Nothobranchius furzeri: one gene and its partners. The protein of the gene in region 2 purifies or fractionates together with the protein of the main gene of each other region. This does not show direct contact. Links are inferred from orthologs where the notes say so. Each region holds a gene or a part of one and is shown on either strand. Other genes may lie near its edges. The genes, in order: nop10, H/ACA ribonucleoprotein complex non-core subunit NAF1 and nhp2.

What was found.
Region 1: the proteins of H/ACA ribonucleoprotein complex non-core subunit NAF1 (region 2) and nop10 purify together in Homo sapiens (co-immunoprecipitation; 6 studies listed by BioGRID and IntAct, with this or other methods). This does not show direct contact. The link is inferred for Nothobranchius furzeri from reciprocal best matches to the Homo sapiens genes NAF1 and NOP10.
Region 3: the proteins of H/ACA ribonucleoprotein complex non-core subunit NAF1 (region 2) and nhp2 purify together in Homo sapiens (affinity purification with western blotting; 3 studies listed by BioGRID and IntAct, with this or other methods). This does not show direct contact. The link is inferred for Nothobranchius furzeri from reciprocal best matches to the Homo sapiens genes NAF1 and NHP2.

Annotation. Positions count from the first base shown.
Region 1 is NC_091742.1:80,334,311-80,337,971, forward strand, and holds nop10 (H/ACA ribonucleoprotein complex subunit 3), read left to right. Parts: upstream 1-1,336; 5' UTR 1,337-1,464; coding exon 1,465-1,518; intron 1,519-2,416; coding exon 2,417-2,557; 3' UTR 2,558-3,160; downstream 3,161-3,661. UniProt on the Homo sapiens protein: Required for ribosome biogenesis and telomere maintenance. Part of the H/ACA small nucleolar ribonucleoprotein (H/ACA snoRNP) complex, which catalyzes pseudouridylation of rRNA.
Region 2 is NC_091747.1:73,481,850-73,486,026, reverse strand, and holds the start of H/ACA ribonucleoprotein complex non-core subunit NAF1, read right to left. Parts: upstream 2,891-4,177; 5' UTR 2,822-2,890; intron 2,462-2,821; 5' UTR 2,447-2,461; coding exon 1,890-2,446; intron 1,776-1,889; coding exon 1,649-1,775; intron 1-1,648. UniProt on the Homo sapiens protein: RNA-binding protein required for the maturation of box H/ACA snoRNPs complex and ribosome biogenesis.
Region 3 is NC_091750.1:25,734,428-25,738,861, forward strand, and holds the start of nhp2 (H/ACA ribonucleoprotein complex subunit 2-like protein), read left to right. Parts: upstream 1-1,490; 5' UTR 1,491-1,603; coding exon 1,604-1,766; intron 1,767-1,836; coding exon 1,837-1,906; intron 1,907-2,106; exon of another isoform or gene 2,107-2,140; coding exon 2,141-2,246; intron 2,247-4,434. UniProt on the Homo sapiens protein: Required for ribosome biogenesis and telomere maintenance. Part of the H/ACA small nucleolar ribonucleoprotein (H/ACA snoRNP) complex, which catalyzes pseudouridylation of rRNA.

The DNA of each region.
Region 1 (3,661 bases), on a different chromosome or scaffold from region 2:
AAAGTTAGAGTCTGCTGTGAGGTTTTCTGTTCCTATCTGTGTTTTCAGGGGACATTTTAAAAGGAAACACATGTGAAGGAAGGTTTTGGCATGAAAACCTGTGCAGAACCAACCCTCTCTCAGACTTAGGAGGCTGCTTTTAAGTACCAGAAAAAAATAAACAAAGACAACAAGACTGAAGCAACAAGTACTTTGTAACACCGCACACTCGGCTAAGGTTGCAAATATCTCCTCTGACTTGGTTCTTTAATTGGTTCTTATATTAATTTAAAACAGCAATTTGAACATATTTGTTTCACTAGATAGGCTTAATGAAGAAAAATAAGTGTTCTCAGTGGAAAAAGATGTACCGGTAATAATTTAATGAATGAATTTTCATGGACTTACCTTTCTCGTTTGACATGAGTAGTTTATGGTGAATGCTGCAAAAACAGATTCCAACTTTATGTCTGTTTGAAAGTAAACATCATTATTGTTTAATTTTGAATGTGAGCTTTTGGATTTCATAATTCTGGAAGAACTGGATTTAAAGAGCAAGTCAACCCGTACCAGATTCTAACTCCACTCCCACTTCATGTTTGAAAAATGCAACAAATGCTGTTGCCTGGCAGACCGAGAGGGCGGAGCTGCTAACAAATACACAAACACACAGGCATTGTGACATCATAACGTACCAGTTTACATCATAGCATACCTCTTAGCCAATAGCGGTGGCAGATTTAAATTAGAATACAGTGCAGAATTTTTACCTGACAACGGCACAACACTGACAGTTTTAGGCAGAATATCTAAATTTTAACTAAGATGCACTGAAGTGCCAAATTATTGACGGCACATGTCTGCAGCACGATTAGACACTCGTTTATTTAGTTTATCAGCAAAAAAAGTTTATTTGGGGGTGACTTGTTCTTTAAATAGTTTTTATATTTTATTTGTTTTATAGCACAGCAGAATTTTCATGCAGATGTTCAAGAATGTGTTTGGTTGTTTTGGTTAAAAACACATTGTGTTTTGTTTTGAAATTGGACCAGTAAAAGTTACTCTGTTACTGATTCAGCTAAGGGCCAAAATACTTTATTTGTTCTCGGAAGAAAATTAAATGTTGTAAATCGATATTCAGAAACAATAATTATAACAATCTAATAAATATTGTTATAATAATAATCATCTCATATAATTCAAGATTCTTCAAAGAGTTGTTATAGATGCTGGTGGGTCTGTAAAACGTTGAGAGGTGGTTAGAATAAAGCATAAAAGTTCTGAAAATGCACTTTTATTAGTGTGTGATATTCAAAAGAGCCTAATTTGCGAGTAAACTCAGTTCCCCATGATTCCAAGCGGCCTGATCATTAAACCGGATATCCGACTAGAAAGTTCGTTGCACGTGGATCCACGTTTTCTAGCTTCCTAAAATAAAGTTGGATTTTTTAAAACTTATAAAGCTTCATATCAAGACTTTTCGTCATGTTTTTGCAGTTTTATCTTAACGAGTCTGGAGACAGAGTATATACTCTGAAGGTAATTTGTGTGTGTTGTTCGTAACATGTCTTCTCTCCTATCAGTTTCACGTTTTAGCTCATTACATTTAAATTTATTTTGTTGGAAAACGAAAAGTAACATCACGTGGCTTCTATTAAAACATAAAGGAGCAAGTCAAACCAAAAAAATCTCAAGATGTGTTATTCGTGTTGTTTTCACGTTAGCCTCACATGTAGCTAACATTGATAGCAACTAGTATCTAACATGGATAGCAGCTGAGCTAACAAAGCATGGCAATGCCGCTTTATTTATAAAGGCTACTTCATACCAGGCAATTCAAAGTGCTTTCCATGTGCAGCCAGCAAAATAGCGGCGAACATGGACAGTTGCAATTAGTGGCTAACGTGGAAAGCTTGTAGCGAACCAGTATAAACACAAATAGTTATATCCCAGATCGCCTTTGTGTGTTTTTGGACAAACACATTTGATTTTAGCTTCTGATTTATACCATATAAAAATCCTTTGCTTTTAATACGTCAATAACCGAAACGTAACAGTTTAAATTAATACGTCAATAACCGAAACGTAACATAGTTTAGTGAAAAATGCGTAAAATTTAGTTTTTACGCATGAAATAAAAAACTCTTTACATGTTTTAAAAGCTGATTGTACTTGCAACTGAATAGGTTATTACTGTAAATCAGAGTAGTGTTACAAGAAAATGAATCAAACATATGTTAGTGAGGGTTTATTTTATTGTATACCATAATAGCCATCATATTCTAAAAGGTGAATTTAGGTGTTACACTTAATTTCATCCACGTATCTTATTTCGTTGGTGAAATGTAAAAAAAAAAAGCTGACATATGCCTTTATTTTTCAAATCAGTGTTCTTCCCTAATGCACACATATTTCCCTTCATCTTTGCCTCCAACAGAAGGCATCTCCTGATGGGCAGCCCACCAGCTCTGCCCATCCGGCTCGTTTCTCTCCGGATGACAAGTTTTCCAGACACCGAGTGCAGCTGAAGAAACGCTTTGGCATTCTGCTCACCCAGCAGCCCAGGCCAGTCCTGTGAGGGAGCTGGAAAGAGTGGAGTGAGGAGGCATGGATGGATGAAGAGCTGAAGATGGCAACATGGATTTTGAAAGGACACTTGGTGTGTTGGACTTGCTGGTTTGGATCGATTACATGAGGTCTTTAGATTTTAGTAGAGGTTATTGTCATTTTTTATGCTTAAAAATGTTTGATGAATTTTCTTGAATACTGTTTGAATTCAGGATTTGATGGCTAATTCTCCTTTATTGCATACATTTAAACAAGTAAGGTATACTTGACATTGTCTGCAGTAAAATAATACTATGTTAGCTCCTATAACCTCTATTTGTATGCCAGTTTTATTTTGGGGGGGACGACGACATATAAGAAAATTTGAGTAGAAATAACATTTATTGTGAATATAAACTAGAATTTGAAATATAAGGTGTTTACTATTCAGTCATGGTGTGTAATTTATGAGCTGCAGACAGTTTCCCAGAGGTATTTTTGTTTGTGCTAAATGAATCTTGACTATTCACAAAACACTCAGTCAGTGACTGTTGAATGTCATGTTTTGGTTTCAGTAACATCTTGGACTAACTGAAAAGACAAAATGAACAGTAAAATAATTAACACCCTCAAAGCACACTTGTTATTTTGATCCATGTACTCAAAATACCCAGTGAGTGTTAAAATGTTGTGTTTTTAATGAAAAATTGCATCATTTTTTTCAACCTTTATTTTTTCCAGATAGTGTTTGATAATATTCTCATTTACAAACATCACCTGTCCGAGGTAATTTTGAGGTGCAGCGGAAAAACATTAGCTCATTTCAGCTATGTTGCTTTTTCTTAATATTGTTTAATTCGAACTTTATGAGCTAATATTTGCTAATTTATCAGTTTGAACATTTTAATGTGAAAATCTATTTCCGCGTGTTTTATGTTCAATATGAACTCATCCTTCTTGATGCAAACTGGTTTTGTGCTAAACTCAGGAAACTTGCTAAATTGTTGGAATAAAATAACGTAAACAACTTGTTTACGTAAAGACCACATCTCCCCTCACTATTGTCACTGAGTAAAACGACGCATGCGCAAACTTGCAACGGCAAGGGAACTAGGACCTGACGGGCTCACTTGCG
Region 2 (4,177 bases):
TTTCCCATCCTAACACAAAACTCAACTTTGAATAAAATTGCTGCTGCGTGGCTGCAGCATGACCCAAGTCTGGAACATCAAAATGACAGAATTAAACAAATTTATACGCTTTATTTCATGCTTCAAATTAACATTTCATTCTAATTCATCTGTATTTTCCCACTGCATATTAGTATAAACTGTATTTCTCTAAAATTAACACGATTGTACTCTGAGCACGCTAAAAAAAGAAACCTATGCTATACTCACCCTGCCATGCAGGTACAGTTGGCTGTGAAGACGTAGTTCTCTGGTTTGTTTACTATGACCCAAGCCTCGTACATAGCAGTCTTGTGTCCTTGTCTTTGGCTAGGAAGGACTTCTGCCTTCAAGATGCAAAACTCAGAGTCTATGTCGTGATATTTTACTTTCTGTACGTGGCCACAGACAACATAGTTGTATGCATCTAACGATTTGTATGCCTGTAGCTTCTCACGTGTGTACTTACTGGGCCTCTCCACTAAAAATGTATACATATCGGGCCACTGGATTTCTGGCCACGCACCTACATCTTCCACCCATTCCGTAATGCCACAGGGATCCGGGAGTCTGTTGCCATTCGTTAAAGTGAGTTTAATAATATAACATTCAAGATTTGCCGGTGATTACCCCGCAGCGTAGCTTGATAAAGCCTGAAACAACGCCATTCTCTGTTGCCAAGCTGCGCGCGCATTCGCGCTGATGTCATATTGTTTACAAACAGTAAAAGGGTCTATACATGACAGGATACCCCAGAACAGCGCTACACCCTCTGTTGTCCTGGCGGGGAATTGCTTTGTAACGCTCCCCGGGAGACGGAGAAGTCCGAAGGCAAAATGTCTCCATCAATAGGCATGTTTCCATTACCAGAAGTCCAGGCTAGTTCCTGAGACGGGGAACTTGACCAGGGGACAGGACGTCCCAGTCCTCTCAGCTGTTGTGTCTCTATTCAAATCCAGCCCTTTCAGAAGTCGCACAGACGTCAGCGTATCACTGTTTGGCAGTGAGTGATGTCACTGATCAGCCCCAAAAAGCGCCCAAAGTAACATGAATAATATTGAAAGCATTTATTTTATAGAATACATCATAATTTAATCCATTCAGAGGACGAGAGCAGCTCTGAGTTTTGTGAGACAAGCCCCGTTAACTAAGTCTGTGGGGGAATTCCACCGAGTTCTCCGGTGTCGGGAGTTAGATTTTAAATGCGATCGGTGCTCTTTTTTGCTTCCATTTTGCTTCACCAGCTGCTTTTCTAATTTTACTGCTGCCGGTTGTTTTGGACGTCTGCTGATATCATTTCCAAATGAGTTACAACCAATCAGTGTGAGTTAACCGGAGGTTCCGCTCAGCTACTCCACCGGGCCGTTCGAGGTACCTACTCCAGAGCAGGTACTCAGATGGTTCCTGAAAACGGTCCGAAAAATGGCCGTTCGGACGGCCCGGTCAGGTGGAGCCGCGCGCACGTCGGCAGGTTCCTGTAAATCTACCCTGAAGTTCTTGTAGTGTAAACACATCGATTGTGGGTGCGTCTCTGCCTCGTGGAGCTGAAGCAGAAGCATAAACTGGGCTTAATGAGACTTCAACAATGTGGGACAGAAGACCTCAGCTGGACCAAAACAAACAAACCAACCTCCAGCAAGACCTCATCTCTGGTTCTGAGAGGCACTGGTTGGCTGAAACCTCCATCTTCTTCCACATCAACATCAACCACCAGGGCAGAAAGGGCAGAGGAAGACGAAGATGAAGAGGAGGAGGAACTGTCACCAAACAAAGGAAATAAGGAGCATCAGCACATCTGTTTACTGTTGCGTTATGTAGTACACAGAGGGAATGATGCTAAACGAGTGATGTGTGTGTTTGTGTGCGCGCACCTGTCTGAATCTTCATCACAGTCTCTAGACTCACAAACAGCACCCACTGGCTCCTGGGTTTGGTCACCTCCTGCTTCTTCTTCATGGGTTTGAATGCTGGCTGCTATGGGGTCATCTGGGGTCACAGGACTATTTACCCACGTCTCACACACACTTTCCTGAGTGTGAGCGGAAATTTGTCCAGGTGTCTCACACACACTTTCCTGAGTGTGAGCGAAACTTTGTCCAGGAGTCTCACACACACTTAACTGAGTGTGAGCGGGACCTGGTCCTGCTGTCTCACACACACTTTCCTGAGTGTGAGCGAAACTTTGTCCAGGAGTCTCACACACACTTAACTGAGTGTGAGCGGGACCTGGTCCTGCTGTCTCACACACGCTTTCCACAGGCAGTGCTGCTGATGCAGTGTCCTCTCTGCACATGTGAGTTCCTGCTGCCATTGCAACATGTGGAGACACGATGAGGCTTTCTAACTGTGTTGCCATGGTGATGTCCATCTCCTCCTGCTCTCCCAGTGCTGGTTTCTGCTCATGCTGTTCTGCATGGCTTTGGTCCATCTTAGCTATGTTAAACTGTCACAACCAGATAATTAAGAACACACACAAACAGAATAATAAACAGATATCATTATGCTGCATCATAAAGCGATCACCGTCGGTTCATTAAAAAAAAGTAATTCTGACACTCGGAAGCAACCATGAAAGCTAACCAACAGCGAAATCAACAACATCTAAATAATACTTAAACCTAGACGTCTGAGACTTCTCTAAAAATCTGGCCGAAAAGCCAGCAACCTCACATAAAGGAACACGACAAACACGCTAGCATCCACGTTTAGCTCGAGCGACGAATGGCTAATGCTGAGCGAGCACGAACACGCAGTTAACGTCACCAAAAGCAGTTTAAACGTGTAAGAAAAACTTTAGCATTACCTGTTTGATGAGTGAATTTCCGGAAGAACCCTTGAAAACTCCTACGGCTTCCGTAGAATCACAGGACACTTCCTTAACTTTCTTTCAAAATAAAAGCTTAACGCAAAGCGGACTTCAATTTGTGGACTTAATCTAGACGTAATCAACTGTGAAATCGGTGTCCAAATAAAGTTTTTTGTTCTTTAGTTTAAGCTGTACTAATATCGTCAAATATCACTACAGCCCAGTGTAGCTCAGTTCACAATTTTTATTTTAAAGCATTCTAACACAGTCAAGGTAAAAATATTAGGTTATTTTTATTGACCCAAAACATGCTATAGTATCACATTTTTTTGAAATACAGTTTTTACTATACTACAAAGAGGACAGAGATTTAAAAGAAAAGTTTTTGATCCAAACCTCCCCTTTCAACCGAGTCCAAGCCGAGCCAAGTGTTTGAAATCTTTTATTTTGAAAGCAGGAGAGTCTTCCGCTACATAGGAATTTCTAATGGTGATGAAGTGAACGCAGCACGTGTTACTCCGCACGAGGAGTTCTATTTTTCCGGGTATGCGCAAGAGAGCTGCGCGGTTCATTAAGACGAAGCATGTGCGGGGTTGTGGTCCAGAAAGCGTCCAAGGTTCAAGCGTACGTAGACGCCCCAGAGAGAGTGTAACCTTAAATATGTATATAAATACTCAGAACTATAGAAATAAACAATGCTCTGTCTATAGCTCTGTAAACACTAGATGCCTCGTCCCCGCTGTTCACCAATGGGATGCGACGTAGGAACGTGGCGGCCATCTTACCTCAGTCAGCTGTCCCCTTTCTTGACATTGGGGTGTATGGTGCATGTACTATTTAAACGACTCTAACTTGCTCAATTTTTGAACTGATTTTCAAAACGTTTGATTTGTTATAAACGCCAGAGATGTGTCTATGAAATAGGATGGGGTTGACCCCAAAATGCCTGTTATTTCACTCCACAAAGCATTTAATCTTTCATAGATAACACATTTAATTGTAAGTTACAGTAAATTAAAGTATACATAGCCTATTATATTATATAGATCTATCTATAGCAATATATATATTCCTGGTTTGTGAAATAGGACTTGTTTAGAGATGAGATTTCAAGGTTCTTTTGAGGTAAAGCCCACATTAACAGAACAGATCCAAAATGTGCAGCCCAACAAAAAAGACAACCGACACCCAAATCATCTCTGTCAGCCAGAACCAGCCCGCCAGCAGTAAAATTTAACCCAGCAAATTATTTTGTTTTTTCACTATTTCTTAACTTTTGTTAAGAGAGCTCTTTGGAAATACTTTCTGAAAAAGTTAGGAAATTGTTGGATTGAGTGTCTACAGGTGTAAGTT
Region 3 (4,434 bases), on a different chromosome or scaffold from region 2:
ATTTGTTAATAAAGTTTTAAATAATGATTAAAAAAACCTTTTTGATCCTCGGGGGCTCCAATAGCTGCAATACCGACTCTAAACTGCGTGGTGCTAAAGAGTCGGATCTTTTTACTATGATTTCTGTGAATTTCACACAAGGGGCCTTTAAATGAAGCAGTGATTAACGGGCATCTGCAGCACTTGATGTCCTTCTGAAGAGCCGATGTAAATCAGGTGTGCTGAAGCAGAGACATGGACAACATCCAGGACAGTTGTCCCTGAGGACCAGGGTTGGGACACACTGAGGTACACTATGACATAAGCTGGTACTATATGATGTCACAATGCTGTTGTGAGCCTGTGTGTTTGTGTGTTTGTTAGTGGCTCCACCCTCTCACTCTGCCAGGCAACAGCATTTGTTGCACTTTTCAAACAGGAAGTGGGAGTGGAGTAAGCCTCTGGTAGGGGGTGACTTGCTCTTTAATGAGTTAACTAGCAACATTTTACAGATAATAATTATTGCTGTGTGGAATTTGTTGCATCTTTAAAATGCTTCGTAACATTTTTCTCACACACATTCCACTAAATCAGAAGTGAGATCAAAGAAAAGGTTTTTATGTGAGGGCGCACGGTGGTTGGGATGGGTAGCGTTCTGTCCACGTCCGTCACGGGCTGGGTGGGGGTTGAGCGGGTGCGCTTTGCCGACCTCCGGGGAGGCTTGGTACTGGAAGACAAGATGAACGGCTCTCTACAGAGACTCGGCTCTCATTGTTCACTTTGAAAACCAAAAGATTTGATTTGCTCGTGAATGTCACATCACTGCAGATAAATGAGTATGGAAGAAGAGGACAGAGCATCGTTCTTCTCCCAGACGGAGCAATAATCATACATTTGTGTCTCTGAGGACTACAAAGATGTCAGAACTAAAACAGACCACCAGCTGTTTTACATCCAGTGGTCTCCTTTAAAATGCAGCTGAACGCTCACCTGTTCAGGTGCTGCTACCTCTTCTTACTCGTTTTCTTTCTTCCCTCTCATTTTTATGTTAAATTTTCCATTTTCACAATTTATTATGTGTTTTTAATCATGTTTTAGTTTTGTTCTTGTGAAGCACCTCTTGACTCTTATCTTCAGAGGTGTTGCCCTTGTTCAGGCTGGCTTTTGTGTGACCTTCTTCACCACTCTCTTTATTCTGCTCTCCCCACCTATTCCACCTTCCTCAGGATCTTTCCCTATCTATTCACTCTCTCTCTCTTTCTTTACATTTTTTTAATCACAATTGTCTATTTTTTGCTCATTTTAAACATATTTTAACCATTTTCTAAATTATTTTTTTATGTTTTACACTTTTTTTTGTGAAGCGCCTCGTGATTTTCATCCTGAGAGGCGCTATAGAAATGATACTTTCTTCTTCTACACACACACACACACACACACACACACGCACACGCACACACACGCGCGCGCGCGTCTACAGGCCCTCTGTAGACTTTGCCGACATTTCCGCTCCTGGCCGCCGGGGGCGCTGTGGTCCAATGGTCCTGTTAGTCCGGGACAAGAGTTAAAACACGTGCGTGCTGGGTGAAAGCAGAAAGCAACAATCGGTTATTGATTATCAGAGATGACGAAGACGAAGAAGGAAAACGCGGATCCAAATGATTCGGTCGCATCGGCCGGTGGTTCCGAGAGGACCTACCAGGAGCTGGTCTCCCACCTGAACCCGATCTCTCAGCCGCTGGCCTCCAGGAAGCTCAGCAAGAAGCTCTACAAGTGCGTGAAAAAGGGTAAAAGACCACCGAGACCCGTTAGACCGGTGCTTGTGTCCCGCTTCTTTACCCGGTGTTTTGATTTCAGCTGCTAAGGTGAAGAACATCCGGAGGGGCGTGAAAGAAGTTCAGAAGTTCATCAAGAAAGGAGAGAAAGGGTGAGTTAGCTTCACGGTGCCCGGGTCCGTCCAGAACCTCAGTCCCCATTACTGTAGTGGTCCGGTCCGTCACTGTTTTCTGTCCCTCAGAAGAAGTTCCGCACTAATTTTTTTTTTATGTATTTAAATGTGAACATTATTCAGTTTTAGCGCATTGAACCATTCAGGACACCGTAGTCATCCGCGCGTTAGAACCTCACCTGTGCTCACCTGAACCCGGTCTGGTCTCTGCAGCATCGTGGTCCTGGCGGGCGACACGCTGCCCATCGACGTGTACTGTCACCTGCCCATCATGTGTGAGGACAGGAGCCTGCCGTACGCCTACGTGCCCTCTAAAACGGTGAGTGAGTGGAGCTGGGGTCAAAGGTCAGCAGGTGTTGTCAGGATTTCAGATTTCTCACACGTCAGTTTTAACCCTTGACTTCAAGTAAAACACACATTCTATGAGGTAAAGGGCTGGTGTCGTGGTTTTTAGATTCTGATTGTGTTAAACGTTATTATTACTATTATTATTACTACTATTACTAGTACTATTATTATATATGATATATGTGTATATATGATCCAACGGTTTTGATCTAAATCAGGGCCGTGTGCATATCTGGTCCATCTACACCGGGGGGAGGGGGTTCCACGTAGTGAGCTCAGAACGTCAGCGCTATAATGAATCCATGCTTCCGTACCACCAACGATGCTCGAGTGGAATCATCTCTATTTAAAGCAAGGCCCACAGGCAGACCCTGTTAATCGATACTAGATAAATGAGAATGGAAGAAGGTACAGAGCCTCGTCCTTCATCTGGATAGAGGAAGATTTACGAGGACTACAAAGACATCAGAACTAAAACATGCCACCAGCTGTTTGATCAAAGCTGGATAGCTGGAGTGTTTACAGGTTTCCATGGCAATGCCGAAAGTCCGCCTCAGCTCTGTTGCTGAGTTTTCATCATTTATATGTTGTTATCATGTTCTGCTCCAGGGTCTGGGTGTTTACAGTCTCGAGGACGTAGTTTTTGCTGAGCAGTAGTGGTGGTCACGTGACCTTAAAGTTGCCCGTTTGTCACAAGTATGTTTATGTTTATTTATTTGGCAGACGCTTTTATCCAAAGCGACTTACAATTTATAACCTATAGGGCGTGTTGTGATCTGTGGGGGAAACCGGAGTACCCGGAGGAAACCCGCGCATGCATGGGGCCAGAGTACAGCTTTTAACGCAGGGCTACTCGGTTAGATTTTTTGTTGGGCCAAATTATCATGAGGCTTTTGCCAGCGGGCCGTACATTTCCCCGTATCTCATATTTACCTATTAAAACAAAGTGCCGCTGCATTTTCAACAGTTTTATTGAAACAAGTCAAATGACATTAGGATTAACTGCTGGTTTTTAGTGAAAATAATAGAAACTGCAAAACATAGCCAACTCTGGTTTTAACAGAACTCCGAGTCACAAACTCAGTTACAGTACTTGTTTTCGCTTAAAATAAAGCCAAGAAAACATAACCAGCTGTAGTTTGACTGAAATCACGGTCACATAAAGAACACAGTAACGATAATTACAATGTCTTTTATGCAAATAAGAACAAACAAAACTTTCAATTAAATCACAAAATTAAACTACTGGCTTTTAAAGCATATAAATGAAAGAAAAGTCTGAGTCAACAACTCATAGTGACAGCACTTGCTCTGTGCTTAGTAAAGCGTAGAAAACAACCGGTTTAGTAGGGCTGGGGGTAAACGATTATTTTTAAAACGATTATTCTGATGATTATTTTATCGAATAGTCGACTATTCTAATGACTATTTAGAAAATTAATCTAATGATTATTTTTCTATTGCACAATTAACAAAAACCAGAAAATCTCAAATAAATTCCTCAAAAAAATTGATAAATTCTTACTGTAAGAGAATAAACACTACAGGCCTTCCATGCTTTTATTGTGTTGGTTGGTTATGTTCTGGTGACGTGTAGAACTTGGGAGTGCAGGCTGCTGCCTGAGAGGTGGTAGAAGATGGAGTGTCTCCATGCTGCTTTGTTTTGGTCACTTATGTGCGTGAGGCGAGTGGTCTTACGGGTTAAACCAAACTCAGGTGATATTTTACACTAAACCGAAAACCCACAACACTCTAAATGTAATAAAAGGGAGATCTGCACCACAAAAAAAGATGAACTCTAAACCAAAACGTAACAGCTTATCCCAACGCAAGAAGCTGTTAGCGAAGATGCTAACAGTAGCTTTACCAACGTTAAGTTCAAGTTACCAAGTTTAAATAAACCAAAAACACCCAGCAGCAAACAGACCAGCATGGAGGAGAGACCGTTACCACCAAAACAGCTCTCCTCATGTCTGAAAGAAGCTCCTTAATGAAGGGAGAAACGCTCCCGGTGATGTTCTACATCTGCGATAGACACGAAGCAGCGCGTCTGACCCCGGAAGTTGTTGTCCGTTGCCGGGAGACGAAGGGGCAAAACAGGAAAGGAATCTAGTAGTGGACGGACGTTGTTCCGGGTCTTCGGTATTTGGCGGAGATGT